3 linked regions of the Lonchura striata genome follow. The protein of the gene in region 2 binds, or shares a complex with, the protein of the main gene of each other region. Links are inferred from orthologs where the notes say so. Each region holds a gene or a part of one and is shown on either strand. Other genes may lie near its edges. The genes, in order: CNOT9, CNOT11 and CNOT8.

Region 1 (10,686 bases), on a different chromosome or scaffold from region 2:
ACACACATGTAAGGTGTTTGGCATAAAACAAAGGGAAATTCAGAACTATATGAGAAGCAAGTCTCAGTCACGTACTTTCCATTTCTACTTCTATGCCTAAAAGCCCATATATGAAGAGCACAGTCTGACTTCCATAGCCAGACACTGACCTTCCTTACTCATACAGATGTCTCCTCACAAACAAGATACAGCATTGCCCACCACTCCATACTCATCTATTTCAAGCTCTCTACATTACAAACACTTTGGATGTAAAGTTTTTATAGTGTCATTACATCATAAAGAGAATGAGAGAACAGAAGAAAATTAGAGAAGAAAAATTTTAACAGTTTAACAAACCTGGTTCTCTATGTAAGAGAATTGCCTGTTAGCTTCCTTCTGTGTGGTCCTGCTGCCCAGCACACCTCCAAAACTGCCAGAACCTTGTGAGGGTTTCCCAGCTGACAGAAAAAATAGACAATATTCAAGCTGATTGTCATTTAATTGACTGGGATTTTTATTTGCAAAATGTTTAGCTGGAGTTGATTTTGGAAAGGGCATGCCAGAGTTCTTGCCAACAGACTACAATATTACGAATGCACAGACATAAGCACGTGTTTATGAATATCCCTCATACTGGTCATTTAGCCACTTGGCAGCAAACTTCCTATCCTTAAAAAAAAAAGCAAAGTAAAATAAAAAGAGACTGTGTATGGGCAATTAACAACCTTTCAAATACCAACACACAACGTAAAAAATTCCCTATGTTAATCTCTGATTATTGTTCAGCTGAGAAAGGTATAAAACAAAATATGGGGTTTGAGGCCAGAAAGAAGCATTTACAGAAGTGCAAAGAAAGCCAGGAACACAGGGACAAAATGTGCTGAAGATGTGTGCTGGCTTTGGCTGGAGGAGAGTTAATTTTCTTCACAGTAGCAATGATAAGGCTGTTTTGGATTTGTCCTGGAAATAGTGCTGATAAGAGAGATGTTATAGTTATTGCTGAGCTCTGCTCACAAAGAGTCAAGGCCTTTTCTGCTGCTCACATCACCCCTCAGGAAGCAGAGGCTGCACAGAAAGGCAGGAGGGGACACAGACAGGACAGCTGACCCCAAATGACCACAGGGATATCCCACACCGTGTGGCATCATGGTCAGTGCATAAAGCTGGGGAAGAAGTGAGGGAGGCACAGTGATGGTGTTTGTCTTCTCAAGTCACCATGACACAGGTAGAGTACTGCTTTCTTGGAGATGGCTGAACACTTGCTTGCCCACAGGGAGTGGTGAGTGAATTCCTCATTTGTTTGCTTGCGTGCACAGCTCTCGCTTCACTTACTAAACTGTCTTTGTGCCTGCCCACAAGTTTCCTCATTTTCACTTTCTCATTTTATTCCCTACCCCACTAGGAAGACTGAGTGAGCAGATGCTTGGGGCTTAGCTGTTGTTGGATATGGTTAAACCACGATAAGATGGGAAAAAGAGAACACAACACCTCTCCATAATGTTATAACATGACTTACAACAATTGCACTTACCAGTATGAACCTTGTCTTGATGGACTGCATCCAAATACATCCGCATTTCATTTGCATCTTTAAAAGGTACCTTATCAATTGTCAGAAAGCTGGTATCCTTTAGTGTTAGCATCAGGCAGCACAGTTTTCTGCCATTTGGTCGTAAGGTCACTGTTTTAATGTTATGGCTTAACTGAAAACAAGAAAGTGACTATAAGCATAAATCCACCCTTAAAAGCCCAAAATACTTACAAATTCAAACAAAAGATTTCAAATAGACAGGATAAGAGACTCCCACCAAAATACTTCTCCTTGCTCCACTTCAAGGAAACATTAAACCTCATAAAATTAATACAATCTGTGACCTTGGCATCTGACAGAACTGTAAGGACAGTGTCACTATTGCTTAACAGTCTCTAGAGATAAGCTTTCTGAAACTTGCTTTTCTACTCAGTGTAACATCTGTAAGTGTAAAGGAAAAACAACTTCACGAAGTCCCAATTGGTAAAAACCTCCACATCAAGAGCAAAATACAATTTAGGATGGGGAAAGTTTCAAGTATTAAACACAAATATTTCACTTCACAATTTGCTCCCAAAGAAGACAGATTTAAAAAAATCTGCTGAGGAGGTAAGTCAGTAAGAAACATGCTTACTCTGTATGCAACATCTTAACAATTAAGTGATGACAAAACCTTCAGGGTTATGGTTGAGCACAAAAATAATTTTAATAAGACTTTGTGCTTCCTAATGATGCCACTGCTATTTTGTAATATAATAACCTTACTTGTGTTTCATGCTAAGTCACCTACAAAAACTGGCTGTTGGGTAAAGTTCTACTACTCGTGCAAGTGGAGGGCAGCTCAAAAAGACTGAGATAGTAAAAGACACTTCATGCCCAAGAACAAGATTTTTTTTTTTTTCAATTTAGATCTCTAGCTTCTTGGAAAACCAATCTAGACACAACAGCAGCTTGTAAGAGGGGCTGAAAAACCACCTTGATCAGTAACTATGGGTTTGTTTTAATGTGAGCATTACACTTCTGAAACACATTGTGCTCAATCCTTGTATTTTGGGTTTGGCTTTTTTGTTGGGATTTTTTAAAAATATAAGCTAAAAATACCTTCAAAGACCTAAGAATTGAATAATAGGCTCCAAGTTTTCCATGCTGTTGAAACACTTGAGTCCAGTGCAAAGGGATTACAATTATTTCACCATCTCAGAGCAAAACAACCCATTTCAACTCAAAATGCTGTCAGAGGACTCCATCCATAGTTTCGGCAGGTGTGGGGAAACAAAGTAATTCTCTTAATACTACCTAGGACAACTTAGTTAAAGCTCTGAAACATCTCCAAGACATCATTTAACAGAATAAATTCGATGGCACACTAGTCACCGTAGAAAGAAACATAATATCGGCTCCATCCAAACCTTCCATTACAGAAAACTAAAAACAGGCAGGAAGCTCACTCACAGTCCTCTCAGAGCAGCTCGTCAAAAAAACAGGGAATGCTACTTCTACAGCAAGATCATCAGGAATTTGTCACACCTGAAGTGGCATGCCAACAGCCTGGGGATGTCTCACACAAACTACCCTTCAGCACAAGCCTCCTCCTCCTCCTTTGCTGCAGTCTCAGGTGCATGGTTGCTTATCACCCTGTCTGCTAGATCCTGCATTCAGTCCTTTCCCCAAATTTCTGTGAAAACCCTCCACTGAGCTCACAAAGAGATCTGACAAGTGACAGAGACAGCAGACATGAGAGGCTGGGAAGAAAACCTGCCCCTTTAGGCCATGGTTAGCTGTTCTGTAGGCTCATCCTCCCTGTGGAACCTCCCTGTGAGTTGCTGTCACACCACATCACTCATCAGGCAGAAAGGAGTGTGTGAGAACAGGCACCCAGGGAATGCACAAGGGGAAGACAAAACTGCTCTCCTCAGGAGCAACATGGTCCAACAGTGGATTAAACGAAACCTGCAGCCACAGCAGCACACCTGAGAAGGCAGAGACTCTTTGCAAGTCTGCAGTAACACAGGTGGGAGCAATCATAGCTAATGATTTCCTGACAGCCTTGATTTCCAGGCAACACCAGCTGCCAGACTCTTGGCTGAGACTTTTAAGGACACTAAGGCAGCAAAAAACTAACTTTTCAAAAAGAAATTAACTTTTTTTTTTCATAGCATCTGCACACACAGAAATAAATGGCTCAGAGAACAGCCTGGTGAACATTACTGACAAAAAACAAGAGTGGTGTGAAAAAGCAGAAGCCAACATATAGATCACTTTAGGCCATTGCAAAGTTGCTAAACAAACTGGGATCTTTTTTTCCTCCAACTGCTCTTATGTCAATTACATATTTTTAAAACAGGTATGTGTTTCTTATAGAAAAATCACTCTGCTTTTGATTTGGGGCATTTTGCACAAAATCTAGGAAGACTGACCTGAAAACAACTATAGAATGAGAAAAAATTTAGCTGAATATTTCAAGAGTATTTTTAACAGTGATCTACATCTGCATTAAAAACCTACAACAGCCATAACAAGTAATGTTCAGCAAAGTCTGAACATTAGGTGTATTAACATCATTACACCTCAGCTGGGGAAACAGCTAATATAAAATGGTCAGGATCTTCTCTAGAGAATGCAAATGTGCCAGTAAGAGAAAGGTCACAGGATCCAAAAATCTGAAATGTGAACCACGATGCTCTATACTTCTGTAACTTTTTTCTGCTTTTTTGGTCCTTCCCATTCAGTGGTATCTCAATGCCAACCTTGGTAGAGCCTTTAACAATACGTGTAAATAATTTACTGGAGAGTTATACAAAGGGATTAGTGTTCAGGAAACGAGGAACAAGAAACAGTGACAGAGGGAAGTCTGCAGGACACTTAATAGCCTTGAAGAGGACAGCTGTTCACAAGAGAGCACAATCCATGCACTGTTAAAACAAAAGCCTTAATGTCTGGCATACCTGAAACGTGGTTGGAATTCCTCCAACATTGTAGTGAACTACTAGATTCACTTTGTTGTCCTTCTCCACAATTTCAAAGCTCCCTTCTTTCCATTTCGTAATCCCAGTCTGCATGCTGCGCATCCGGACAGGTCCGTGCACCTTTAACAGAGCCATGCTTTCTCACAGAAAAGAGCTAACAACAGTAAGTGTGCTCCACCTTAAAAACCTGTTAAAAAGGAGAAATGTATAACTTTGTGGGCCAAATAATGGCTAAAGGAAGATGGAAGCATGGCTTGAACATTCCGTAGAAGTTTGGTAGAACCGTTTCACTGATTTTAAACGCAGTGAGGAAGAGCGGGACGGCACTGTAGAAAACTCAGATTAATAAAATCTCTCCCAGTATGAACAGCAGTGCACCGACTCCTTACTGCTGAAAGGTGAGCAGACAGAATTCCAGACACAAAAGTCCTTAAAATCCCTTAACTTCACCGGATTTAAGGTAAGGGAGGGAAAAAAAGCGCCTGAGGAAAGATAGCAAGAGATGGGAAACAGAGTTTTGGAGGAGGACTCCAGATTAAGAAAACGAGCTCGTTCCTGACGGCGCGGGACCCGCGGCCACCTGGCAGGGCCGGGACGGAGGTCTCCGGCTTCCCCCGCTGCTCCCCGCGCGGAAAGCCACGAGCCCGGGGCGACAGAGCCCCGGCTGCGTTCCGGAGAGCACGGCGAGGCGCGTTCCCGACAGATCCCGGCGGGAATGAATGGAGCGGCCCCTGCGCGCAGCCCGGGCGGCGCTGCCGGGGAGCCTCCCCCGGCCATCCCGCGCTCAGCCGCCGCCGCTCCCCGCCCGACCCGGCGGTGTCCCGGCTCCTCCCGGGCCTGGCCGCGCTCCGCTTCCGCCGCTCACACACACGGTGAGCGCGGCAGCGCCGCCCGCCCCGGGCCGGGCCGCTCGGAGGGCAGGCGGTGACCGCGCGGCGGGAGGGGCGGACGGCCGGCGGGAGCGGGTAGGAGTCGGCGGCGGCGCTGCGCGGTGGCGGCGCTGCCCGGTACCTGCGGTGCCCGGTACCTGCGTCCCGGCGCGTCCCGGCGCGTCCCGCGGGGCCCGGGGCGAGGCCCGGGGGGGGCGGGGGAAGGGGCGGCGGATGGCGGGAACCGGCCGCACAGCGCGAGACCGCGCGCAACGCGCGCCCGCTCACGTCAGCGCGGCAGCGCCTTCCCGGCGCGCCCCGCGCGCGCCCGCCCCGCGCGCAGGCGCCGGCCCCGCCCGGGCCCGTCCCGGCGTGCCCCGCGCGGCCGGGGAGGGGCGGCGGCGGCGCCGAGCCCATGGCGGCGGCAGCGTGAGGCGGCTCCGCTCCCACCGGCCACCATGCACAGCCTGGCCACGGCCGCGGTGAGCCGACCGCCCACGGGACCGTGTCGGGGATGGGGCCGCGTTGCGCGGACCGTGCGGGGAGCGGGAGCGCGGCTGCTTGCGGCGCGGGGGGAGCTTGAGGCCGTGCGGTGGCGGAGCCCCGGTGAGCTCCGCGCCCGCGGCGTCACTGGCGCGGTCCGTTCGGCAGCTGCCGAGCTCCGGCTGCTCCGTGCGGGGCTCGTCCGGGGCCCGGAGGTTTCGCTGCCGCTGGGTGAGCCGGCTGTGCCTCGTGTGCCTCACGTATGGCGTTCCCCCTTCCCCCTGCCTGCCGCGCTGCCTCCTGCAGCGAGTCAGGGCTTTGGGGTTCCTTAGAGAACCACTAGCAAAGGTGTCGGCAAAAGCACGTTTGATACAAAAGCAGAAGCGTGACAAATTTTGTTGGTAGGGTTTGCTCTACTTTTAAAGAAGCACATCGAAGAAAAGCAGACGAAAGTCTAAAACGGATTAATCTACAGCCAAAATAAATCCAAAAAATTATTATCCGCTGAGTGTGTGGAGGGGGAAGAGCAGGGAAGAAAATGGTAAGGACAGGAGAAGGTAGGACAAGAAGGGATAAGGAAGACCCTCCCGCTGAAGCAAAATATTCAGAGTACATTTTCTTTAAGTGGCCTTAAAACACTTATCTGCAACACCTCCTGCGTGCCCAGCCACCTCCTCTGCCTTCTGGGGAGCTGTTTTACTGCTGGCCTTGACTGCAGAGAGAAAGAGTAGACGGTGAAAAGCCCCTCATGGCAGCAGGTGCTGCCTGCTCCTGCTTCCCTTTGTCCCGTGGCAGTGCAGCACCGGCCACAGCTGGTGCTTGCCCTCTTCCTCCTCAGGAACCTGCCATGGCTGGATACGGTGCCTGATGCTCGGGCTGGCAGGACTGGAACAGTACCTTGGCCTGGGTGGGTTCAAAAATGGAAGCGGAGTTTGAAGGATGTGGTTATTGCTTTGTATCTCCCACGTGATTGGGTTTGTGTTTTGGTTTTTTCTTCTCCAAATGCTCGTTCATGGCATGTGAAAGACTTCCTAGAGCTGATTGAGTCTTGTGTGTACTGAGTGTGGGAGGTGTAATGCAAAGCCAGCAGATAGAGCTGTTTCACATGAACTTAGATCGAGGGTCTGGTTGGACTGCCAAGCTAATGAGTAAGTAAAGTTTTGATGAACAGGAGTTAAAGAACTTTTTACATTTCTCCTCTGTTTAAATGCTTATGACTTTAACTAGTTCTTGGAGTGCTGTCAAATACTTCTGATTTTAAGTACTGTTCTCCAGAACATGGAAGGGTGTGCCAGATCAGGTAAACTTTCTTAATCAGCGTTTACATTTTTATAGCACTGTAATTCTTTAGTGTTTGTTAAAATGCATGAAGGACTCCCATTAGGCATATCTCCCATTAATCCTGTGTCTAGTTACCTCTCCTTTTTAAAGACAATTTTAACAAAAAAAAAATTTCAGAATAGAGAGCAACTTTATTTTAGGACTCACTTGAATGTATATTTAATTTATGCATAGTTTATGCTAACTGGTAGTTCTGTATTGAAATGTTTCCTACCACAGTCAGTGAGCTTAGACTTTGGCTCAGCAGGACTTTTACCACTGTGCCTAGCAGCAGCTGCTCAATTAGGAGGAGAAAGCCTTTTGTGTAAATCAATTTGTTATGTCAGCATTAGAGATGTCTTTTCTCCAAGAAGGAGAAAAGATGTTACAAGATTTTTTTCTGATCTAATACTGTTTATAAGTTTTGTTTTCCCTGTGTGCAAAAGAAAGTCTACCTGGTGGGGTTCTGTCCTGGAGCTTGGAAGATCTGTGTGGCTTTCAGGGTTCCCCAGAATTTTGGGTCTTAGAGGGAGAAGAAGAAACAATAATGAAATAGGGAATTAGGGGGAAGAAAAAAAGTCCATATAAACTAAAACAAAAAGAGCAACTGTAGGGCCTATGAAAAGCAATTTGTTCTGGCTAAGGCATATATTGGACATCATAAACTTGTGTGGAAAATCTACTTAGTGTTCTCTAGGGATCACAAGCACATGATTGTGCTTTTAAGGGGTCGATGTATTTAAGCTTACAGGAACTGAAACTTCCAGTGAGTCTAGAAAAATAGATGGAAGCTTTAGATAACACAATTATAACAACATTATTGCTACAGTGCTTGTCAATCCACCATCCCACATAAAAACAAATGAGCTCTGTTCATTCTCCCTCTCTTTTTGAGCTTCAGTGTAGAAGTTAGCATTGCAATTGCAGTCACAATTGTAGGGGCACAAGAAACTTGGCAGGATCATTAATTTAGTTTGAGATTTTGGGGAAAAAAAATTAGAAATTGAGTAGGTGAGTGTCCTGGTTCTGGTTATGCCCAGAACAGAGTTATTTTTTGCATTAGATGGGAAGAAGCATAGCTAGGCTCCAGAGTTTATTCTGAACCACCTCACATCATTTTTCAGAGAGGGAGAAAGGACTTGATTTGAGCTTGGGGCTGCATGGCCCAGGAAGCAGTTGGTATTGTAGGGGGAATTCTGTGGGGTGAGCAGTAACTTTTCTTTTCTTGTACCCTCTGTCACTAATATTAGTTAGTTTTCTTATGTCATTGCTGTTCCCAGTAAATTGTTGCTATCTCAACCTGTGATATTTACCTTTTGTGCCCCCATTCCCCTTTCCATCTTGGAGCAGGGGGACTGGGACTGGAAAGAGAGAGGGAGTGAGTGGCAAGTGGTTTGGAATGGTTTCAGTGGGAATACTAAATTGGAGAATACCATTCTTAAGCCATGACAGTGAGAGAAAAGAGGACAGGAGGAAATATGAACAGCTAAAAAAGTATTTGAGCCCTAGAATAGAGGGACTGATAACACCACATTGGTTTACGTATGAACATTTACGTTAAATAATACAATGGAGGTGGATGGAGCAGAGAGAAATCTCACAGCTGGGGAAGAATGTCTTTGGATGTGACTGTGGAAATAAAACGGGGATAAACAGAGGAGGGAAACCTCTGCAGGCATAGAGGAAGAAAGCTGTTGGTGTCTGGCAAAGGTTGAGAACTCTCTCCATCCCTCCTGCATACCTTCTGGGACTGCCTCTGCCATGTGGCTTCAGGTTTCGCTGCAGCCACTTTCAGTTCCTGAGCTCCCCTGTATTCTGTGTGTCTCAGTGCTAAGCAGCTTGGTGACAGCGTTGCTGTCACTGTGGTATGCGCTCTGCATGCATCTGTTGTGGGGAGCACATGAAGAGTTTCAGTTGGGGTTACAAAATAAAGAAATACAGTCCTGTTCCCAGCTGGGATCACCGTGCACAGTGGGATGGAGAGCTGGTTGCATGCTGGCTGGGCTGTCTCAGGAGCAGCAAGTACCAACAGGACTGTGCTTAGCTTTAATAACAACCACTGCAACAGTGTTTGAAAAGGTTCTGACCTGGTTCTGGAAATGTTCACACAGGTTTTAGTGATGGTTTTTGTCTTCCTCAAAATTTTGTATCTGAGTTGCCAAATTATCTCCTTAGGAAATCTGCAGAGCATTTGTTTGCACCGAGTGCTGCTTGTGCCAGCAGAGGCAGGAGACAAAGTTTCAGTGAAGGGCTTGTGCCTTGCCTTCTCCACAGAAATTACGCTACAGTCCCTCTTCTCCATCATTTTTTTTGTGTTGAGAACTTGTTGATCTTGATACTGTTATTTCCCTGATGTTTCAAGAGAGGCAAAAGCAAAATTTTACTTTCCCTTGAGTAGTAGAAAATGTGTCTTGGCCAGGAATACTGATCTACCCTTCTCTGGGTTTATTTTGAACAGGAAACATATCATCCTGAGATCTTGCACAAATTAATTCTTGAAAAATTCCCTTTTAGCTCCATGCATGTGAACAATGAACCTGGTATCAATACAAGCCATTGGTAACAGCAGCTGTTACTGCCTGTGGCCAATGTCATACTGATGGTGAAGTAGTGAAATTTTTTCTAGTGTTTGTATGAATATTTTTCTCATGTGTATTGGATGAATCTCACTGGCAGTTTCCAATATCATGGGTGTTTGTGGCTAGGAAAAGGTAAGCTCTGCCTTATTCTGAATCTGTGGAATCTTGCACTTGAAGCATGAAATAAATTCATGCTAAATGCAGGTGGAACAAATCATAGCTGGCTGAAATGTATGTTGCTTCCCAGGAGCTCTGCTAGCACAGCTGGGCAGCAGCTTGGCTCTCAGTGCTGAATGAAGTTACAGTGGTACTGCTTGACAAGGGGATTAAGAGAGATTGTTTTAATCATTCAGGCCAGGAAATAAAGCCCTAGAATTTCAATAGGTGAAATACTAAGACTAATCTAAGGAAGGGGTGGAGCCATATCCAGGACGTCTTAATAGAGCTTTAGGTCCTGCCCTCCCAGGAATTTCTTTTTCTGTCAGATTGTGGGGACAGTTTGGGTGAGAACTGGATTGAAGTTTGGACTGAAGCTTTCCTGTCTCCCTCCCAGCCTGTGCCAACAGCCCTGGCTCAGGTTGACCGTGAGAAGATCTACCAATGGATCAACGAGCTGTCCAGCCCTGAGACCCGGGAGAATGCACTGCTGGAGCTGAGCAAGAAGCGCGAGTCCGTGCCCGACCTCGCCCCAATGCTGTGGCACTCGTTCGGCACGATCGCAGCACTCCTTCAGGTGGGTTGGGCTGTCTGAGTCTTTGTCTGTGTCTTTGTTCCGTGCTGCAGAGCTTGTGCATCCATGAGTGGATCTGAGGAGGAACTGGTGGGATCCCTTGTTGCCATTGCTTGGGAGTATGATCTTTGTTTTGGTGGGGGGAGCAGATTAAGGTTTGAATGCACTCCTGTGACTCCATGTAAAATTGACTCAAACCCAGCTCTGCCCTTGCCTGGGCAGCATG
Region 2 (10,181 bases):
GCCACTGAAAGTATATTATCATATGAAAGTATGCATATGAGACTAAGAGAGATTCCTTACTAAATTTTAAAATTTTCTTTCTAAAGGGAAAGACTGGGAAGAAGTGACTCTCCCAATGGCTGGGAATTTAAGCAGGCAAGAGGTGCAACAGATTTCTATTCCCTTCACACATGTATTTGTATGCTTTTACACCTGATTGCTATAGTGCACATTTGCCTTTTTTCTGAAGAAGGACTACAACACAGACCACCCACAATCCTGAATGTCACACTCCATTAAATCCATCAGATCCTGCTTTTTCTCCCTTCCTCTTGTGGTGAATCTTTAATGCCTGTAAAGAAAGAAAAATAACTTCAGCCAAAGGAGATAAACACTCCCCTCTACTCCTAATAGCCATAGCCTGGGCTGGAGTTTAAACCCCTGTAGGGAGATGAAGAAAACCCGAATCTCCCACTTCCTGGACAAGAGCTTTCTAATCAGTTCAGAATTATTGAATATTCTTTCAGAAGGTGGATTTCAAATTTGTACCTTAAACATAAATCACTTCCTCCTGCAATTTTATCTGCAAAAATAAAGATTCTACTTAAATTGATTTTGGATGAAAACAGAACCATAAGGCATAAATCAAGTCATGGAGTCAGGGAACGGAAATAGTTCCATTTGTATCAGATATGTAATTGCATAGCTCAAATTAAAAATGCTGAGTGCTCAAATTAAAGTTCACAGTGAAGACTTCCCAAGCAATGCACAGACTGAATGTTTCTACACAGAACATATGCTTAGATATTTTTAAATTACAAATGGATTTTTAAAAAATCCTATCTAAAAAAAGAGCAATAAAAAAAGGAAAAATGAGAATATTATTTTGCTTCAAACAGTTTTTGAAGGAAAAAGAGTTTCTAAGTGATCAGGAAAGGGCTTCCTTGTCAGAAGAAGAGTCTATCCAAAGACACATATGCAAATAGCAATACTTTATGCTGCTTTTACGTGCCAATATGTCCCTGTTGGAGTTTCACCATAAATCTAATTGGGCCAAAGCTCTGTCTCTTCTGGGAGCATCCAACACTCAAATAATCAAGAGAGTGGACTAACATTAATTTACAGGTGTGATCACATGTGGCTTAAAATGCAGAGACCTCACTAAAACTTGCAGCAATGACCATGTTTATTTCTAAGCCACTCAGTATTCAGCACTTATGAAGCCATTAATGCAATGATATTTTTGGTGTTTCTTAAGTGCTTTTCAAGCTGTATCCAAGATACCTTGGCAGCTTAAGAGAGTTAACAAGTGAAGATGTATTCTCATACAGTTACTCAGGAAGACTTTTAGGTATTGTTAGCATGCCAATATTGTTGATTACTCCAGGAATAACAAAATCTGTTTCCGTATTGGTGGTCCTGTCTCATATTTTGAAATGAAAAGATGAACTAGGAAGAAAACATTTAACTGTTGCTAGAAAGATACACATAAAGAGATGTACACAGAATGCATATTCTCCTTCCTTTCTCTGATATGCTGCTATTTAAAATACACTGTAGACAGGATGGGTCACTTTAACTACTATGGAAAGGAATTTGTTTACAAGAGAGAATTCTCATGAGAATAAACAGAACAATCTGGAAGAGTTTTAATTCACCCGTTGACTTTAAGGTGTGACTTAATTCTTTCCTACTGTGTCCCTCCTAAATGAACTGTGGGGATAAAAGATAGGCTGTTGGAAGTTGTTTCCTGAGTATTTAGCCTCTTTGCTAGAAGAAGCTAAAATACTGGCTGGATAGTTTTTTAATACTTTTATTGCTCCTTCCAAATGTTGTCTTTTTCTATCTATCCCTCATTAGGATTTTTTTATAGTACCTGCAATGTAGCCTGTGTTTCTTATGTGTCATCTAAAATACAATAGTAAACAATAAAAAATACAATAGTAAATAATATCATAAATTTTAAGAAGGAAAGAAGGAAAGAGGACTCCTACAGTTAAATTGCATAGCCTTGCCCTTAGCTCCGGAAATCAAATCTGATTGTTCTCCTTTGGTTGTGAATCTAATTTTCCAGCAACAATTACAAGTCATCAAAAGCTGATGTTCTTTTAAATACTACATCAATTGCATTCTAACAGCCCAATTATTTTGTAAAGCTTTATTTGTATTTGCAAAGAGTAACCTGCCAAACTAGATTGCCTTTATCACTTCTAGTCTGGGATCTCTGTGTCTGGGCTAATATGTATTAGCATGTTTGAGCCAACAGAACAGGGTTACACAAGGGGCATGAGAATCAGAAACTTAAGTACAGCCCCAATCTCTTTATTCCTCTCTAGCACCTCAAAGCATGTTTTTTACTGAGGTTCTTCCTTAAAGTCAAACATAAAAAATGACAGGTGTATTTTATGCTTATATTGACCATTTAATAGCTATTCCACAGGCCATCTAAAAGAAATGGAGTATGCTCAGCCTGCACCCAGAGGCATTGTTCTGCAAAGGGAGAAAACTGAAGTCTTCCTTTTATGCCATGAGACTGTGTTGCACTGAGACATCTCCTGCAGAACTCATCCCCCTGGCCCACCAAGGGAACTGGGGTCCCAACCTTGCTCCCTGAGTATAATGCAATCCATTTCAGATCTGGCCAAGAATTTCTTTTATCTGAGTCTGCACTAGTACAACACACTCTCGCTTCTTCGTTACACAAGTTTTGAGCCCAAGGATGTCCAATACACCCATGTGTACGCAAAATACAGTGCCCTGTGCAGTCACAGAAACACTATTTTACTTACTACACTTCCTGTCCCAAGACCATTTTACACTCATGGGTGTTTTTTTTTTTTTGGTTTTTGGGGTTTTTTTTGTTGCTTTTTTTTTTTTTTTTGGATTAAGGTTTTTCCTACCCTGAAATGGTAATCTGTTTTAAAATCTTTGTGACTTCAAAATTCCCTTTGTCAACTGATGCTCGTGCCTATCCCACTTCCTAATAAGAATTCCATCTTCTAAATTGTTAGCTTTCCTGTTCTGACAAAACCTTTTAATTTGTATTGAATGCTTCCATATGGCTGCATTAGTGAGCACATTTGAGTAATACAATTTTTTTGCTATCTCAGTCATCAAGGAAAGTTTTTATTTCTCTAAAGTCCATTTCTGCAGTTCTGCATCCATTATTCCAGTAAGCACAACATCAAAGAGCGAAGTATGATTCTGAAATCTACAGGAAAAGAAGAAGCAGCTTTCTCTTTCTAAACATATTTATTCTTTTAGCTCTGCTGTCTTCAGCAGAGTTTGTTATTAGGAGCAGGCTGTACAAAAAAGATCACCCGGACAAAAGCATCAAGGTTTGTTTGGGTGCTAATCCACCCAGCAAGCCATCCCTCAATATAAGGCACAATTTTAGATGTGATCATTTCTATCCATAAACTTCAGGCCGAAAATGAACAAATGCAACTTTTGTCAGCACACTAGAAACAGAAAACCTGCTGGTTGGTCTGAGGCCTCTGCTTTCCCAAGTTTTCCATCTAGCTCTACCACACACATACATAGTTTACTTCCTCAGCTATCTGCAATGCTTTCATCTTCTTCCTAAATCTTACAATTAAAGTAATTGTTGCAGTTGTTAGTAAACTCTAAATTGGCCTAAACTTCCAAATAATGCTTTGTTTCCTTGAATACCCTTGGCCAGGTCAGGGAGTTCACTGGCATCCTCTTCCATCTGCTTTACTCTTCTAGCAGCATATGTTGCAAGCAGACTTCTCGCTGTGATCCAGTCCGCTGGTAACTGCTCTGTCAGCAAGGCTTTCATATCTTGCCTTGCCTGGCTGTAGACCTTGTTTTCCTCACAGACCCATCCTTTTTAACCAACTCTATATGTACATTAATCCTTTACACCTCTGGGATCTGGGTTTCTTTCACACCAGAAATGTGAAATAGAGAACACCTGCATTACTTGATCTACACAAGCCTTCAGTTTATATTACTTTAGAAACTGAATCCCATCTTTTACACATGTATTGCTGTCTGGAAAACCAAGATCCTTAGGGCTGGGTGAGTTGGGAGGAATACTACTACTAGAAGAATCAATGCCTGTTCTCAGGACTTCCTAAGGTCTTCTCCTCTCAGCACATTCCACAGAAAGCCCTTCCTCCAGGCCATGACCTCAGCACTTCTGGTTAAGCCAGTGACTTGCTGTCCCACAAGATGTACTTCCACAAGATAAGCCAATGAAACATCATCACACTTCAGAGGGATGTGCTTCAATCCCTGACTCCCAGGCACACATTACTGCAGCCCACCACCCTCCAGCTCTGCTGAGAGCCCCACCAGCAAAGTGGATAGTCTCAACTGCACTGGACCATGGAAGATAAGGATGAACATAAGCCCTGCAGAATCAGTTAGATTGAAAGGATTTCTGAGATCATTGAATCAACCTGTGACTGCACACCACCTTATCAACTACACTGGGGCACTAAGGGCCATATCCAGTCTTTCTTTAAATACTTCCAAGGATAGTGACTCTGCCACCTCCCTGGGCAGCCCATTCCAATGTATAAATCACCCTTATTGTGAAGAAATCCCTAATGTCCAACCTAAACCTCCCCTGGTGTCTCTTGATGCTCTGTTCTCTCATCCTGTCGCCGGTTACCTGAGAGAAGAGCCTGGCCCCCACCGGGATACAACCTCCTTTGAGGATGTTGTAGAGAGTGTTAAGATCCCCGCTGAGCCTCCTTTTCTCCCGGTTCAACAACCCCAGCAGCCTCAGCTGCTCCTCATGCAACTTGTGCTCCGGACCCTTCAATGGCCCAATCCGCGGTGTAAGTGCTGCGGCCATGAGGTGTTCCTCGGCCACGAGAGCACCCCCGGCCCCGCAGCCGGGCAGGGCGCGGGGGCTCCTCCGCGGCCGGGAGCGGCCCCGGCCCGGGAGGCGCGGGCTCCAGGCGCAGGGCTCCCAGCACGGGCTCCCGGCGTAGGCTCCGAGAGCAGGCTCCCAGCACGGGCTCCCAGCACGGGCTCCCAGCACGGGCTCCCAGCACGGGCTCCCGGCGCAGCCCCGCCGCCGCGGCCCCGCCGCCATGGCGCGGCCCCGCCGCGACGCACGGGGACAGCGCAGGCAGCGTCGCGCGCCGCCGGGCGCCCCCTGCCGGCCCCTGCCGGGAGCGCGCGCAGCCGCCGCCCGGGCCAATGGCCGCCCCCGCCGGGCGGCCCGGACCAATCCCGGCCCTCCCGGCCGCGCGCGCCGCCCCGCAGCCCGGCACGCCGCCGGCGCCTTTCGCGGCAGCGCCGTAAAGCGCGGCCGGCGGGGAGCGCCGGGCCCGGAGCGGCGGCGGTCGCGGTCGGATGCCCGGGGGCGGGGGCAGCCCGGCGCCCGGCACGCAGGCGGCGGCGGAGGCGGGCGAGGCGGCGGCGGGCGGCAGGATGAGCCTGTCGCCGAAGGAGCTGTCGAGCCTGCTGAGCATCGTGTCGGAGGAGGCGGGCGGCAGCACCTTCGAGGGGCTCTCCAGCGCCTTCCACCACTACTTCGGGAAGGCCGAGCACTTCCGGCTGGGCTCCGTGCTCGTCCTGCTGCTGCAGCAGCCCGACCTGCTGCCCAGCCCCGCGCAGCGCCTCACCGCGCTCTACCTGCTCTGGGAGATGTACCGCACCGAGCCCCTCGCCGCCAACCCCTTCGCCGCCGTCTTCGCCCACCTCCTCAACCCCGCGCCCGAGCGCGGCGGCGACGAGGCGGAGCGCACCCCGCTCTCAGGTGTGTCCCGGCCGGCGGGGAGCGGGGCGGCCCGGCGCTGTAACCCTCCTGGGGAGAGCGAGTCCTGCCGGCGGGGGCTTGGTGCCGGCCAGGCCCTTGCTTGGACCTCGTAGCTCTCTACAGCTGCCTGAGGGGGCTGGGGCTGTTTAGCTTGGAGAGGAGGAGGCTCGGCCACTTTCCGCTCTCCACAACCGCCTGAAAGGAGGGAGGCTGTAGCCAGGTGGCGGTCGGCCTCTTCTCCCAAGCAACCAGCGACAGGACAAGAGGACATAGTGTAAAGCTGAGCCACGGGAGGTTTGCGTTGGATTAAGGAGTCCTTCACAGAAAGGGTGATTAGACATTGGAATGGTCTGTCCAGGGAGGTGGTGCAGTCACCATCCTTAGAGGTGTTTAAGGAAAAACTGGACGTGGCACTCAGTGCCCTGGTGTAATTGACATGGCAGTGTTCAGTCATAGGTCAGGCTCGATGATCTCGGGGGTCTTTTCCAACCTAATTGATTCTGTGATAACGTGGAATTTTTTGGGGAGAAAGCAGTCACAAAAAGCTGGAGGTGATAGGAGGCTTCTGACGGCCTTAAAGCTGTGAAACAAAACTGTTAGAGAGAAATACATGAGAGTGAAACACTTTTTTCCTCTTCAGTAAATATGACACTACCAGTGTTGAGTAAAGCAGTTTCTAAAAAAAATAACCTGTTGGAGAGACTACAGAGAGAACCACCAAGTTGGTTAGAGGGCTGGAGCACTGGAACAGGCTACCCAGAGAAGCTGTGGAAGCCCCATCCCTGTAATGTTCAAGGCCAGGTTAGATGGAGCTTGGAGCAACCTGGCCTAGGGATGGCTGTCCCTGCTCATGGCAGAGGATGGGAACTAGATAGTCCTTAATGTCTTTTCCGACCCAGGCCATTCTCTGATTCTGTGAATTTCAATGTCAGGTCATACTTAATAGCTCACTTTTTGTCTGGATTGGAAATTGTGTGAATGAACCCGAGTGAGCATCAGGTGTGGCTGTCATCATGCAGAATACTGATCACGTAGTGCTGTATTTTGCATTAAAACAGTTCTGTGTGTGTCACACACTCTCCAGCTGCACCTACCTTGTCATAAATAACAGATCAGTTTGTCTTAGTTTTGCTTGTTATACAGGAAGAGCACAGAAACTGTTAATGCTCCTGCATTAAAAGCCATGGATTTTCACTGTGTCTCCACAGGCTTCTTACCTCCCATAACTCCTCCAGAGAAATTCTTTCTTTCACAACTGATGTTGGCCCCTCCTAGAGAGCTGTTCAAGAAGACTCCTCGGCAGATTGCTGCAATGGATGTGGGGAACATGGCCCAGTCGGTGGACATCAGTGGGCTGCAGCTGGCATTAGCAGGTAAGGAAGGTTTGTGGCTGTGGTGCTCTTGGGGATGGAAGGTCTCATTGGAATGTGACTGTGGGCCACCTGAGAAACACCTTTTTGTCCTGAATATGGACAAGTTTGAACTATGCTTCAGGGTCTTCAAGCCTGTGTTCAAGCACTTAGAGAAACTTCAGGCAGACATTACATCCTAACTGTTTTATCCTCCTTAACAAGTAAATTTTAAAGCATATATGTAATTGCCTTAAATACAAGAATATTTTGCAAGTATAGGAAGATTTCAATCTAAAGCTATGAGGAGTGTTTTTTTTTTTTGGGGGGGGGGATGAGTTTTTCAGGGTGGGACGTTTTTAGTGGTTTTTTTTTTTGCTTTGTTTTAGTTGTTTGTGTGGGGTTTTTTTGTATTTTCATCCCTTTTCACCCTCTGCAGTATTTCTATTATGACAGAACAAGCATAACTGTCATGCTATTACATACCAGTACTTCAGCTGTACCTGGAAAATTGACTATTACAATTATATCTTCGGTTTACTGCAAAGTTAGGCCTTGCAGTGTTAGCTCAAGAGTTGGAATCCAGTTTTACTAGATTGAAAAGAAAAGCAATGTGATGCTTATCCTTTGACAGGAGAACAGGAGGGACATGACTGTTCATGTCACATTTGGAGTGAAGATGAAATATTATACATTGTTGGAAACAAGGAACCAGTTTAAACAGAAAAAAAAAATCCTTTTTCCCTTGGTATGTTGGAGTAGACCTGCTTGCTTGAAAACTAACCATTCCAGATCTGTGTCTGTACAATGTGATTTATTGCTCTGAGGTTGGGCACCATTTATATCCATTTATATTTTCTGTGTCCTGCAGTTTTATCTTGGTATTGTAATTTTATTTTTTTTTTTTCTGTGGCCTCTGACATTGACTGGTAAAGCTGTGGTATACTGTCCTTTATGTCTTGTGAGGTCCTCCTTAGCTGCTATTTACAGACTGGGATAATTTGAAAATGCAAATCGAACACCTTAACACGCCATTGTGAACAAACTTTTCTGGTCCTTCTTGTGTTCATCCTGTCTGTATTTTGTAGACTACGAATTAGCAAATTAAAATTTTGCTTGGGTAATTTGTCATTTTTTTAGTCCAAGGCATATGTGATGCCTTTAGAAACCTCAAGGTGCTTTTATTTGTTTTCCCCTTGATACTGTGTTTGCCTTCCAAATAGTTTGTTCTCATTAAAGATGAAATAATTGAATCACAGAATGGGTTGGGTTGGAAAAGACCATAAAAATCATCTACTTCCTCCTTCACCCACTGTGGGCATGAACACCTTCAGTAGTCCAGGTTGCTTGAAGCCCCATCCAGTCTGGACTTGGACATTTCCATGGATGGGAATCCACAGCTTCTCTGGGCAACCTCAAAACTGTGGTTTGGTGAATGTATGCTCTAGGCCACATACTGTACTTTAAAATAGAAGATAATGATGGCTGAAAGTAGAATAGAAAGTCATTAATGGTGCTTGTATAAAATTTATATAATTGTTTACATAAGCCAGTAAATGTGCACAGTTGCTTACAAGCAGTTGTAGAAGTTATGTAACAAAACCAGCTGCATCTGAAAAAGCTCTGTGCTGTCTTTCTCAGACTTATTGCTGTAGGGCCCCAGAATAACTATCTGCTTTCTAATCACTTTCTTAGAAGATAAATATTTTACTTGTTTTAAAATTATGATGCTTCTTCTGTTTGTTGTGTTTTGGAAAGTCTATGATTTTTTCACTAGTCTTCAGTATATTTCTCCTAATGCTTCAATAGGCAGAATGAAGCTGGTGCAGGATGATGACACTAAGATGCAATGTTTGAGGTGTTTTGTTTACACCCTTTCCCCAGGATGTACAGAATGTCACAGCTATAATATAACACTTGGTAGCTTTTTAGAAGTATGGTCCTTGAGATGAGTTCTGGGCTGTTCAGAGTAGGATGAGTTTGACTTACTTTAGCAAAATCAAATGAAATAATTTAGAAAACATTCAAATTTTTTATCAGTTTATCTTTCCCAATCCTTTTTTTGTAAAGAAAATGAAAACACTTATCCTCTGAATCTGAGCTCACTGTGACAGTTTATTTGCAACTCTAAGGTGGATTTTCTATTTTTGATTTTCTTTTTTGGTTTTAAGGTTTTACACCACAACCCCTCAAAAGAAAAATAGAATGCTGGGATCAAGCATCTTGGGCATGAGTATTAACACTTGTTTTGTTCTCTCTTCCCTGTGGTCTGCAGAGAGCTAATTCAAACTTTGGTTCTGCCCTACAATATGTTTTTGTTCACCTGGTGTGCTACCCTATCCAAAAAAGTAATTTTCTCCTAGCTGCAGGGATGGGTCTCCTGGCAAAGTGTTCCTCAGTGTTTGTCTGCTAACCCTTATTTGATGGGGGAGTAATTGACCTGATGAAAGTAAAGCTTTTGATACATTGTTGAGCTTTCCTTAAGAATCAAATAAAGTTTCTTTTTACCTGTAAAAATAAAATAATAATCTCCATAAAGGAACCTAAGGATTTGTTTTCAGTTTAGTTTTGTAAAATTTAAATGTCTTAGTCGAAGCTGCTGTTAGTTTCTGTTAAATCACTGTGTTGTAATTCTTACTTCTGCGTACCTGAAGCTGTTAATTCAGCCCTTCTTCTTGAAGCAGCGAGGTTGAGCTTCTGAGCTTCAATGCATATAACTGAGGGCTCAAGCAGGTTTCTCAAATCAGTGAAGTGAAATATCACTAATCATCTTATCTAACATCACTAGTAATTTCAGATTATTAGGTTACAAACAAACTCATGACTTACAGACTGATGGATTTAAGTTCTAGACTATAAATGAAAATATGGAAAAAGGACACCCAATTCCTCTCCCCTACTCTTTTGTTAAATCAACCCATCTGTTCAGGGGCTAAATGAAAATACTCATGAGATGAAGTTTGAAATAGTTGCTAAAGTAGAAAATATGTTTTATAAACCAGCTTATTTGGACTTCGCCTTTAAAATAGGTATTTTTTTAAAGTAGCTGAAAAGTATTGTAGTTGTTGCCTTTAATAGAAAAATATACCCTACTCTGCTGCTTCAGTGAGCAT
Region 3 (10,484 bases), on a different chromosome or scaffold from region 2:
TCGGCAAAATGCAGGGTATCAATCCCTTCTTCCTCATGCTTCTGGAACTGCAGCCCAGAACTGGCAAGGAGGTCTATGGAATCCTGAGAGTACATGTCTTCCCTGAAGGAAAAAAAACAAGCAAGTTTGCACTCAGGGTGCTGCCAAGACAAGCTCATTTTAGAAAAATTCTCCCCACACTATGTCAAGAATTGGAGTAACCAGTAGGATAACTCCCGGTTCCAGTTTGTCTCTCTAGAAATTTCAAACTGGCTCAGTTTCAATACCACTACTGCAGACTCCTACATCCATAATAAGCAGTTCTGTGATCAGTCTAACTAGTTAACTCGTTAACACTACCATTGCTAGTGCAAATTCTAAAGATTCCACCTCCATAGGACTGAAACTGACTGTTTCGAACAATGTCCCTTCTGCAAGGTAAAGGGAAGCACCACAGATGAGGCCCAGAGGAAAGGGGAGTTCTCCCAAACAGGAAGATGTGCAGCTCTAAAGCATTGGCCAGCATTCCAGTCTACATTTTTCCTTTTCACTCCACAGCATGTACCACCTTATCAGCACTTCGCTTCCATCTCTGGGAGTAAACAGAATTGCATCATCCTTGACTCAAGAAGGACAAGAATCATGTGTTTGGTGGAGAGCTGAGCAGGAACCTGACTTCTTTACTGGTTTGTGTCATTTGAGGGAGAGAAAACACATAGAGCCAAGTTCTATCAATATGATAACTCATATTCATTTATGACAACTCATAAATTAAGTGATCACAGAGCCACTTCACTCTGATTTCAATACTTGTAAGAAGCTCACAATTTGCGGAGTAAATAGTGCAACTTTTGGGGTCAAGAACTGGATGATCTGCACATAGCTACAAATTTTTGTAATTCTTTCCAATAACAGTTTCATAAAAATAGATTGATTTCCTCTACGTATGTGGTTTTGCCAGATAAACCCTTTCTTTATTTCCAGACAGCTTCAGTGGTAATTATGCTGAGTTTATCTCTATAATTACAGGGGAAGGGATAATGAAACTTGTTTCAGCTGCAGCCCAGGATATTACAGTATGGAGGAGACAAGAACTGCCACACTCCATTTAACAAGATTCATTCTCCTGAACAGATGTGATGATTACACCAACATGTTTTTAGATCCCAGCTTATACTTAAGCATGGATCTGTAAAGACGTCTTTTTCTTTTTGATGAGACTAGCACATCCATTTATTTTTAGCAGAAAGAGATGGAGTTTTACATAGATATATATATAAATGAAGTTTCAAACATTGTTCCAGGAAAAAAAGGCACACAAAATTATTAAGAGAAAAGATAATGAGGATAGAATTTTAGCATGGCTTTGACTTCCAGATACACTGTTAACTCCTGGCACTCCAAACTAGGTTCCCACACAGTCTGTACTAGAATCTGAATCCTTATTGCTCAGAAGCAGCCAGCAGTGATGAGCACATGGACACTGGTATTTGCCAAAGGAAAGCATCACTCCAGCAGAAAGAACAGGAAATTAATGCCAAGCCCAAAGACTCACGTGAGGTTGAATTTGAAGTTGAACTGCCAGGTGTTAATGCCAGAAGGGTATTCCCCCTTCTCATTTGTGAAAGTCAGGCCCAGCTGGATGATTTTCAGCAGGTCAACGTTACAGCGAAGGAGCTGGTACTGATAATCTATGGAGCTGCGGAATTCACCGATTGGCCTGACAACGACTCCAGGGAACTCCGTGTCCTGGCAGAGAAGGGAAAACTGAGTTTCACCATGGATTCTGTCAGCAGTCATTATTACCACTCTGTGAGGGCAGCCCAGACAGTGAAAACCTTCACAGCTTCTGAGGAACAGTCAATGCCCACATTAACAAAAACTGCTGTCAGTCAAACACACCTCAACAACAGCAGCCACCTATCAGATAAAAACCATCTGTTAGGTGAAAAACCTCTTACCCAGCCAGTGACTGTGTGCAGTCTGTGCTGAACACCAAACTGCCGCTGTTCCTACCCTCAGACTGGGTCACTGAGCTTCTGCTGACTACACACAAAATCTTTCACAATGAAGCCAGTGCTGTGCACCTGACATAATCTCTCCCTTGCCCAAGAAGTTTATCTGTCTACTCATACAGCACAGTCACTCAAACAAACCCTAAGAACACCTCCAGTGAGACTGAAAAGAAGCAAAAAGTTCATTTCCCATTGACAAATGTTAACAAAAAAATCATACTCACTTCCACAGCTGAATTTGACACCAAAATCCCCCACACTCTGCAAAGGCACCTGTCTTTTGCCACATTTTAATGAGGACTTTTCAGATTTTGAGGTTCAGTGCTCCTAAGCAAAGCTGGCAGAACTTACAGTACCACAGCTAAAACCAGTTCTTTATCTAACACACTGGGGTGCTGCCAAGCAGATACAGACTTGTAAGAGCAGGAGGAGATTCCTCCCACCTAGGGGAGATTATGCTCTTCTTAAATAAAGCTTTCTGAACATATTGTCTTATCTACAGCCAGAATATTTTTCTTCCCTAAGAATCAACATCTGCCTTCATTTGAAAGGAGGCAGCCCAGCTGCTAGCAGTGACTTGCAAGCCTTTTGACCACCACTCCCATAGCATCATCTATAATCAAATGAAGAAAAACATTCAAAGGACAAACACACTGGTGGAAAAATAAGGATTTAAACCCAATTGTTACTTGTTTAATTTTCCTGCTGCACAAATGAATACACTCTGAATAGCTAAATATTAAATAAATTCACGTTTTTAAGTTAGTCTCCTTCTTCCCCTTCTTTCAATCAACCCATACTCATCACCGCTTGTATTAAATTCTGAAAAGCTACCAAACAGCTTTTTATTTTTTCACCTCTTTTAGTTCAAATTTTCAGGGGGTAGGAAGAAACATTTCTCACTCAAGAATCAACTTAGTCCACAACCCCAAAAAATCCCTTGACTAAGGCAATTAGGTCAAGTATAAAACATTTACCATGGCAATGTAGCTGTAACTCAGAACAATCTCCCGAATTTTCCTCATCTCTTCCTCCAGGTTGTTGGCCCATACTTCACAGATAACCTGGCTGTTTTCTGCAAGGGCTGCTGGCATCTTGCAGGGACCAGAAAAAAGGCAGCTGATGCTGAACTCAAATGACAGTGCAGGATCACAAGCTGTGCAATCTTATCAGTGTGCTGCATTAAAGAGATAAATAAATAATGCTTTAAGTGAAGGAAGAATAACATGTGAATAAATGAGCTGTAGGAGTCAGTCACACTACCATTTTCACCTTCAAACAACCTGTTTAAAGTTTACACCAAGTTTTCCTGCTTTATCACTTTCTGTGAACATGCTGAATGAAATCAAGAGCATTTGTTCACAATATAAAAGTAGATGCACAATCAACAGTCCAGTAGAATCATTACTCCTATCTTCCTTTTCCTGGCATAAGCTTTGACACTTAGGGCACAAGACGTACAGGCAGGGAATCCTCATCTGTAACTCTCAACCCTCACTCCAGGGATATTTCTCCATCCCTGGAAGTGTTCAGGGCCAGGCTGGATGGAGCTCTGAGCACCCTGGTCTAGTGGAAGGTGTCCCTGCCCACAGCTGGGGGGAGGAATGAGATGATCTTGAAGGTCCTCTCCAATCCAAACCCCACTGTGATTCTATGATGAAGACAATTGTTTAAACACAGTAACAGAATGCATTAGAGAGAATACTCATTGGATGGAGTTTCAAGGGGTAGAAATATCTAAAGGGGGTGCTAAGAAGATGGAGCCGGGCTCATCTTCGTGATGCCAAGCGACAGAACAAGAGTCAATGGGCAGCAAGTCATGCACAGAAGTTTCCTCTGAACATGAGGAAGAATATGAGCAAAAACTGTGCAGGGACCGGGCACGGGAACAGCTTGCCCAGAGAGGTTTTGGAGGCTGCCTCAATGGAGATTTTCCAGAATGGCCTGGACACAATCCTGTACCACATACTCTGGGATGACCACACTTGAGCAGGGAGGTTGAACCAGGTAACCCACTGCGGTCCCTCCCAACCCATTCTGGGCTTCTTCCCCCTGGGCTGTGACTCGGGGCACACTGCGGCGGGCTGTTCCGGCTGGAACCACCGGCAGCGCCAGCAGCGCCCCAGCTCGGGCGAGCCACCGGCTGGTGCCGCTTTCCCGTAATAAAAACCCCGGCGAACCGCCGCCAGGCGTCTGCGAGCGGCCTGCGCCAGCGCAGGGACGAGCGCACCGCCGCGGCGCGGCCCGGGTCGCCTCAGGGCCCCTCACAGCCCGCGGGCGGCCGGACGCGGCTCAGCGCGGCCGGCAAGCGGGAGGGCCGCCGCCCGCCGAAGCCCAGCGCCAGGCGCGGCCCCGCAGCCGCGGTGGCGGTGCCGGTGGCGGTGCCGGTGGCAGTGCCGGTGGCAGTGCCGGTGCCGGTGGCAGTGCCGGTGCCCGCCCCGCTCCCCGGTACCTCCCGGCAGCCGCGGCCGGGACGCGCCGCTCCCGCCCCGCGCCGGCTCCGAGTGCCCCGCCGCGAGGGGCGGCGCTTCCGCCGCTCGCGCCGCTTTGCCTCTCGCGAGACGTGGCGGAGCGCGCGACGGGGCGGGTACATCTGCCCAGCCCACACCGGCTGGTGCTTCCCCCCCCTCCCCCCGCTCCCGCAGTGGGCTCGCCCGGGCTCCCCGCGCTGAGAATGGCGGGCGAGTCCAAACTCCGCGGGCGGAGGGGGGAGGGATGAAGGAGCTGGGTGTCTCCGCTCCCTGAGGGAGGCGTCGCCATAACGCCCGCCGGGGCTGCGGTGGGCTTCCAGCATGGGGAGCCCCCGGCACCCCGATCCCTTGGGACAGGGGCTGCGCCGGGCCCCGGCTGAGCGTCCCCGAAAGAAGCAGCGGCCGCCCCTCCCTGAGCAAGGGGAGGTGAGGGGGTCCCGGTCGGGGTGAGGCCCGAGCCCCCCCGGGCTCCCAGGCCGCGGGCGCGCAGGGTGGGAGCGGGATGAGGGTTTGTGTTCCAAGGGGATTTCCTGAAGCTGCTGGCCTGGCACGCGTTGCTCCTACGGTGTAGTGCGTATTAAGCTTATTAATGGAGCAAGTTCTGCTTCTTCCTGCAGGGGCTTAGAAGTCATTTAAGTCCCTACTACTACACCTGCAGACTTATAGGCTTCTGTTCCAGGAGTGGAATTTACATTACGTTAGCAACAGAAGGTTGTAGCTGGTAAAGCAGATACTGGTTGTGTAACACGGCTTTGCTGGCTGATGCTGATGGTACATAGGCAATTCATTTGGAAGCTCGTCTACTAATTAAACTTAGATCGTATTTCCTTTATTTTAGACTGCCGTCCTTCTGGACGGGGTTGCATCTTTTGTAAAATATATATTAAAATATAAATAAAATATATAATCAATAAATTATATACCTAGATTATAGATATAGCTGTATATCTAGATAATATATAGATATATATAACCTATATATCTAGATATATAGATTATATATCTATATATATATAGATTATAATCTGCATCTATAAAATATCTCTAAAATATGTGCCTCTATAAATATATATGTTCTGGTACTGGATTGTCTGCCCACCATATGGGAGTCTTTCCCTGAATCTCGGCTACTTGCCCAGCATTTTGATCAAAGTATCTGGAAAAGCAGATATTGGTATCTTTCACACATCAGACACCATTCAATGTCTCAGGTTTTATGTTCATGCCTCAGCAGAAATGTTGCCGTTAGAAAAGAAGAGGGTTTTTCAAGAGTTGCTGTGTTGAGTGACCTTGCTGCTGTCAGCATCTTGGTACATTCCCTTTATTGCGCATTATTTTGATTCAGAGTTTTATCTTCAGGGATGATAGAAAGTTACTGTTTTGCCTTATCTCTGCAGTCTCTGGTGTTGTGCAATTTATGCAACATGCAATATGCTACACTGCCAGAAAGTAACCACCTTTCTTCCTGTGGTCATTTGAGTCTGGGGTTTTGTACAAGGAAATCTGTGTTGTTAGCAGGTAAATTCAGCAGGCTGGATTACAGCACCCTGTAAATATAAGATGAAATTTTTATTTCCCAGAAGAGTTCAGAGACATTTTTCTTGCTCGTAAACCTGGTGCTTGAAGGGATGTTGAATCGAGGGGAAAAGGGAGGATGCATCTCCTCAGGCCACTGTAAATATCTGTGCCTTGGTACTGTAATAAAAAATGTTGCAGGCAATAATCACCTGTGATAAATTACATTTGTAGTGTGTAAAAATTTGTCTGTAAAACAAAGCTGTTCAGAGATGTTTGCAAGCACTGGAGACACAGTTTGCTCGAAGAAATCAGAATTTTTTTCAAACATGACATGGCTAATAAAGATTCAGAATAGCTGGAAGAGGCACCCTGCTCTTTAAAAAGTCCCATCATTTCTGTATTTGGAGGTTACCAAGGTTGCTTCCAGCTCCAGCACTCCAAAGCAAGTCTTGAAGAGTCCTCACATCTACATACGAGTGTAGAGCTGCATTATAAGGTGGAATAAAGGTCTTTAGCTCAATGTTTTCACACTGGGCAGCTGGAGCTGCATGTCCTGTTGTGCCTTTTCTTTAGAGCTTACTCACAGCACCACAAGAAACCTTCCTTGTGGGAACCCTGAAAGGTGAATTTATGTTTTCCTCAGCCTTCTGTTGTTCCACAAGTGCTCCCAAAGCACTGCAGTGCTAGGTGGTGGCACACGTGCCCTGGCAGAGGGTGAGAGATCTGGTTCAGAATGCAGGGAATTAGGCAGTGGGTGATGTGTGCCAAGTTCAGATTCCTCTTCAGCCTTTTGAGGAACTATCAGTATGGGCTTGTCCAGTCCCCTGAAAGATACTTCATAGATTTCCCCCTGATGTTCCTCTCAAACAGTGAAACAACCAGTGCTTATTACAAAAACTCTGGGGAGTGAACAAAGTTGTGTTAGGAAGTGTCTGATCAAAAAGCTTTTTTTGCTGAGAAGGAATCAGACTTCTTGCATGGCTCAGCAAAGATTGCAGCAGCATTGGAGTGTCTGTGGCAGAGACACCAGCGCAGGGCAGCCAGCAGGCAGAAGCAGCAGTTTGATCAGTGACAACCTGTGCTAGACACACAATTGCAGCAGAAGTTCAATGGCACTTACAACCCTATGACTAATGTGCTGAGTTGTCCCTATGGGTATGAATATTTCAGAGATCACCCATGCTGGAATTGAGCAGTGGTTCACAAGGAACACTGAGGTCTGAAATTCACTATTGGCTGTTGGTTGAACAGCCCTCCCCCTGCAAGCTCACATCCAAAGATCAGTGAGGACGTTATCCTTATGGCACCCCTCTCTTGAGATGCTCATTTCCACTTCCTCCTCTTCGTGAGTAAATAGTTTGAAGGAATCACATTCCTCTCTGTTGAGCCTGCTCTGTGTGATAAATACCAATTAGTAGCAACAGCTAAGAACTACAGTTTCTGTCCCTACCAGGGAATAGTTGGAACTAGGCAAGAAAAAGTGATGATGGAAGCAGTAACAGTGTTAAACACTGTTCACTCTTGCAGAGCTCTCTGCAGTTCCAGCTCTGCTGGAACTAGGTGTTACTGAGAAAAAGCATGTGTTGCTTCACCTGAGAAGGGCAAACAAGGATAACTGGGAGGCAGAGGTAGTATTCCCTGTTTTTCCTCCTGTGAAAAATAGATCTGGAGAGTTATGATAGTAACACGCTCAGTTCTCAGAGCTTAGTTTGCAATAGGGCACTATTTATGGGCTGAGTAACAGATTGGGGCCACATTTGCATAAGAAAGATCGATGCCGCTGTAAATTACATCTTGCTCTCTGCAATACCATAATTACACACTTTATGGTCTGTAAACAACATGCTTAAAGACAACTGAGCCCAAGTACATGCTAACCTATGTGTGTCTTCATCTTAGCCATGCAAGCAAAGCCTGTTACTGGTTGAGGGCACTGTGTAGCAACAGAGTTGGAGTAATTTTTAGATTTAGTACAACAGGATTAAATCTGGACTGCTGGGTTTTTGCCAAATTCCACAGTAACCCTTACTGATTTTAACAAATACCTTTGACCCATTCAGTTGCACTGGCAGTAGCTATTTTGTGCTCCAGCCATGAGTTGGTGAATTATAAAAACTACTTACTTTTAGGGGTGTTGGTGGATTTTTTGTTCTCAGGTACAACGATGAAAAACTTACCTGCAGAATCAGTGTATTCCACGTGCTTAACTGAGTAACAGCATGCACATAGACATGGGGAACAGTGCCAGCACTAACAGTGACATGGCACTGGCTTCACATGACTTGTCTGGGAGGGGACAGGCAGCTCCTGCTTGGAAACACACCCCTATTGCCCTTGCCTAAACCCTCATAAAGTTTCGACAGGAGATGTGAAAAGTGAGGAGCTGAACTCTGCTCTGAACAGACAAAAAGGACCTCTCCTAGGCTACCATCAGGCAGGTGGTGAGAAAGAACAGGCAGCCAGAGTTCAAGGGTGCTTGAAAAGATATGATAGAGACTTTGAGGAAGTCATTAAAAGGCAGTGTCATGTCTGTGTGAAGTCCATTGTCAGCTTTTCTAGGAACAGGGGTTCCCCTAAAACTGTGCAGTGCTTGGTAGGACATCAAACACCACTTCTGGTCCTGTGTCTCTCTACACAGAAATGCGGCTGTTCAGGTGACCAGGTAAGTGGTCCTGTGTTTTTTGTTCTGTATGTTCTGTACTTCTGTGGATAGTCACAGCCTTTGTTCTCCCAGGAACAATTTTCCACTGTCTGTGCCATATAAAGGTTGATTTCAGTGAAGTAAGACCTACACCAGAGACTTCAGGAGGAAGGCACAGGGAATCCCAGGGAGCTGGGGTGGGCAGCCAGTCCATCACCTCAGATGGAGCTGTTCTGAGCTGTGTCTGCCGTGCACAGAAGGACGCAGTGCAGTGGGTGCAGTACAGGGAAGGGGCACCTGTGCTGCCTCAGCTTGAGGCTTTCTGGGCACCAGAAGGAAAACAGAACTGCAGGCATGGGGCATAAATAATAATTTACATGTAAACAAAAAAAAAGTAACAAATACAGCAGGGTTTTTTTCAGATTCTACTCAGATTGTATTGAGCATTATACTATGTATTATATTGAGCATTTTAAAACATGACTTAGACAAGCTAGCTTTTTTACAGTACCAAAAGTGAAAAATTCAGTGAAAACAAGATCTATGACTTAATGAACAGTTTTTGGGCAAATTAAGTTACACATGGAAATAATAATATTAAAAAATGTATTACAATTCTTGATTGACTAGTGTATGTTTCCCCTTTAATGTCAAAAGACTGATTAGAAAGGCAATTACTTTTACTCCAGGGTTGAGAATTTGCTTTGGATCAAATTTTGTGTTAACTAATTCAAAATAACGGGAAAGGAACTTTTTTTAAAGCAGTAGTAGTTATAGCTGATATTTGGAAATAGCTACAGGCAGCTGAGAGCTTCAGTGGTTGATTTGGGGCTGTAAAATATGCCAACATGAGAGCAGTGCCAAGCAGCTGAATGGCTTTTTTGTTTGCTGAAACAGCCATGGTTACATGAATGTTTTTTTAATGTATTTGGTGCATTCTGAATGAGGAGAGACATTACACAATAAAAAAAGAGTAGGTAATGAGATGTTGGGGAAAACCTACTCCAATTTTTTTCTGGGTTTAATGTAAATGTAAAATTTTATCCTGAAAAGTGGCTTAATAAAGGCAATCTTCTGAAACAGAGGGTAAGCAGATGTGGCAGCTCTGCTTTGAACTGGAAATCTTTGCCCAAGCCAGCCTTCTGTCATAAATTGATAATTTTAAAAAGGGTACTAGAAATGTGATTGTAATTCTGACTCTTTACTAAATGCAAGAATATGTAACTCAATCAAGTAATAGCTCCTTCTTCTAAAAACTTAAAGCAGTCACGTTTTCTACAGTGCTCTGCTCTGGAGCTCTTCACATGCAAAGGTTCAGCAGGTTTGAGTCAGCTCTGCTGGATGGAGGAACCTCTGGAGCATCAGCCTTCCAGCTCAGTGAGGTTCCCCTTTCACATCTGCCTCTCCTCATCTAATGTTGTCTGCTACAAAGTCATCAGAGCAGAATAATCTCTTTAACCACAGAAAACTATGGCCAGCACTATTTACTTTACTGTCCCAGCAGAATAATTGGATATTGCTCTTCTCAGCTCCCTGCTGGGTGGTTGTAAAGATAGGGATGTGCACAGCCTAAGAGCAAATAATAGGAGTTATAATCAAAAAAATTCCAAGTGGAAAAAACTGACAGTGAAGGTTGTCAAATACTGGAACTGATTTCCCAGAGAAGCTGTGAAATCTCCCTCTGTGCAGACACTCAACTGTTCAAAGCTCTGAACAACCTGTTAAGAAAGCTGGAATGGAGCAAAGCCTCAAAGGAATGGATTATTCAAGCCTGACATATTTCAAGCTTTAGTAGTGTTTTCGTGGAGGCAGTGGGCACACCTGCCCTGAGAGGACCTGTGTGACAAGATGGACACATAG

What was found.
Region 1: CNOT11 (region 2) and CNOT9 share a complex: the UniProt entries of both Homo sapiens proteins name them as parts of the CCR4-NOT complex. The link is inferred for Lonchura striata from reciprocal best matches to the Homo sapiens genes CNOT11 and CNOT9.
Region 3: CNOT11 (region 2) and CNOT8 share a complex: the UniProt entries of both Homo sapiens proteins name them as parts of the CCR4-NOT complex. The link is inferred for Lonchura striata from reciprocal best matches to the Homo sapiens genes CNOT11 and CNOT8.

What each region holds. Positions count from the first base shown.
Region 1 is NC_134610.1:15,625,789-15,636,474, forward strand, and holds the start of CNOT9 (CCR4-NOT transcription complex subunit 9), read left to right. Parts: upstream 1-5,730; 5' UTR 5,731-5,806; coding exon 5,807-5,830; intron 5,831-10,283; coding exon 10,284-10,463; intron 10,464-10,686. Other genes in the region: USP37 (ubiquitin carboxyl-terminal hydrolase 37), read right to left, coding at 340-440, 1,514-1,685, 4,459-4,614. UniProt on the Homo sapiens protein: Component of the CCR4-NOT complex which is one of the major cellular mRNA deadenylases and is linked to various cellular processes including bulk mRNA degradation, miRNA-mediated repression, translational repression during translational initiation and general transcription regulation.
Region 2 is NC_134604.1:87,468,950-87,479,130, forward strand, and holds the start of CNOT11 (CCR4-NOT transcription complex subunit 11), read left to right. Parts: upstream 1-5,313; coding exon 5,314-5,719; intron 5,720-6,927; coding exon 6,928-7,092; intron 7,093-10,181. UniProt on the Homo sapiens protein: Component of the CCR4-NOT complex which is one of the major cellular mRNA deadenylases and is linked to various cellular processes including bulk mRNA degradation, miRNA-mediated repression, translational repression during translational initiation and general transcription regulation.
Region 3 is NC_134617.1:5,119,241-5,129,724, forward strand, and holds the start of CNOT8 (CCR4-NOT transcription complex subunit 8), read right to left. Parts: upstream 4,534-10,484; 5' UTR 4,447-4,533; intron 3,172-4,446; 5' UTR 3,089-3,171; coding exon 2,972-3,088; intron 1,729-2,971; coding exon 1,535-1,728; intron 103-1,534; coding exon 1-102. UniProt on the Homo sapiens protein: Has 3'-5' poly(A) exoribonuclease activity for synthetic poly(A) RNA substrate. Its function seems to be partially redundant with that of CNOT7.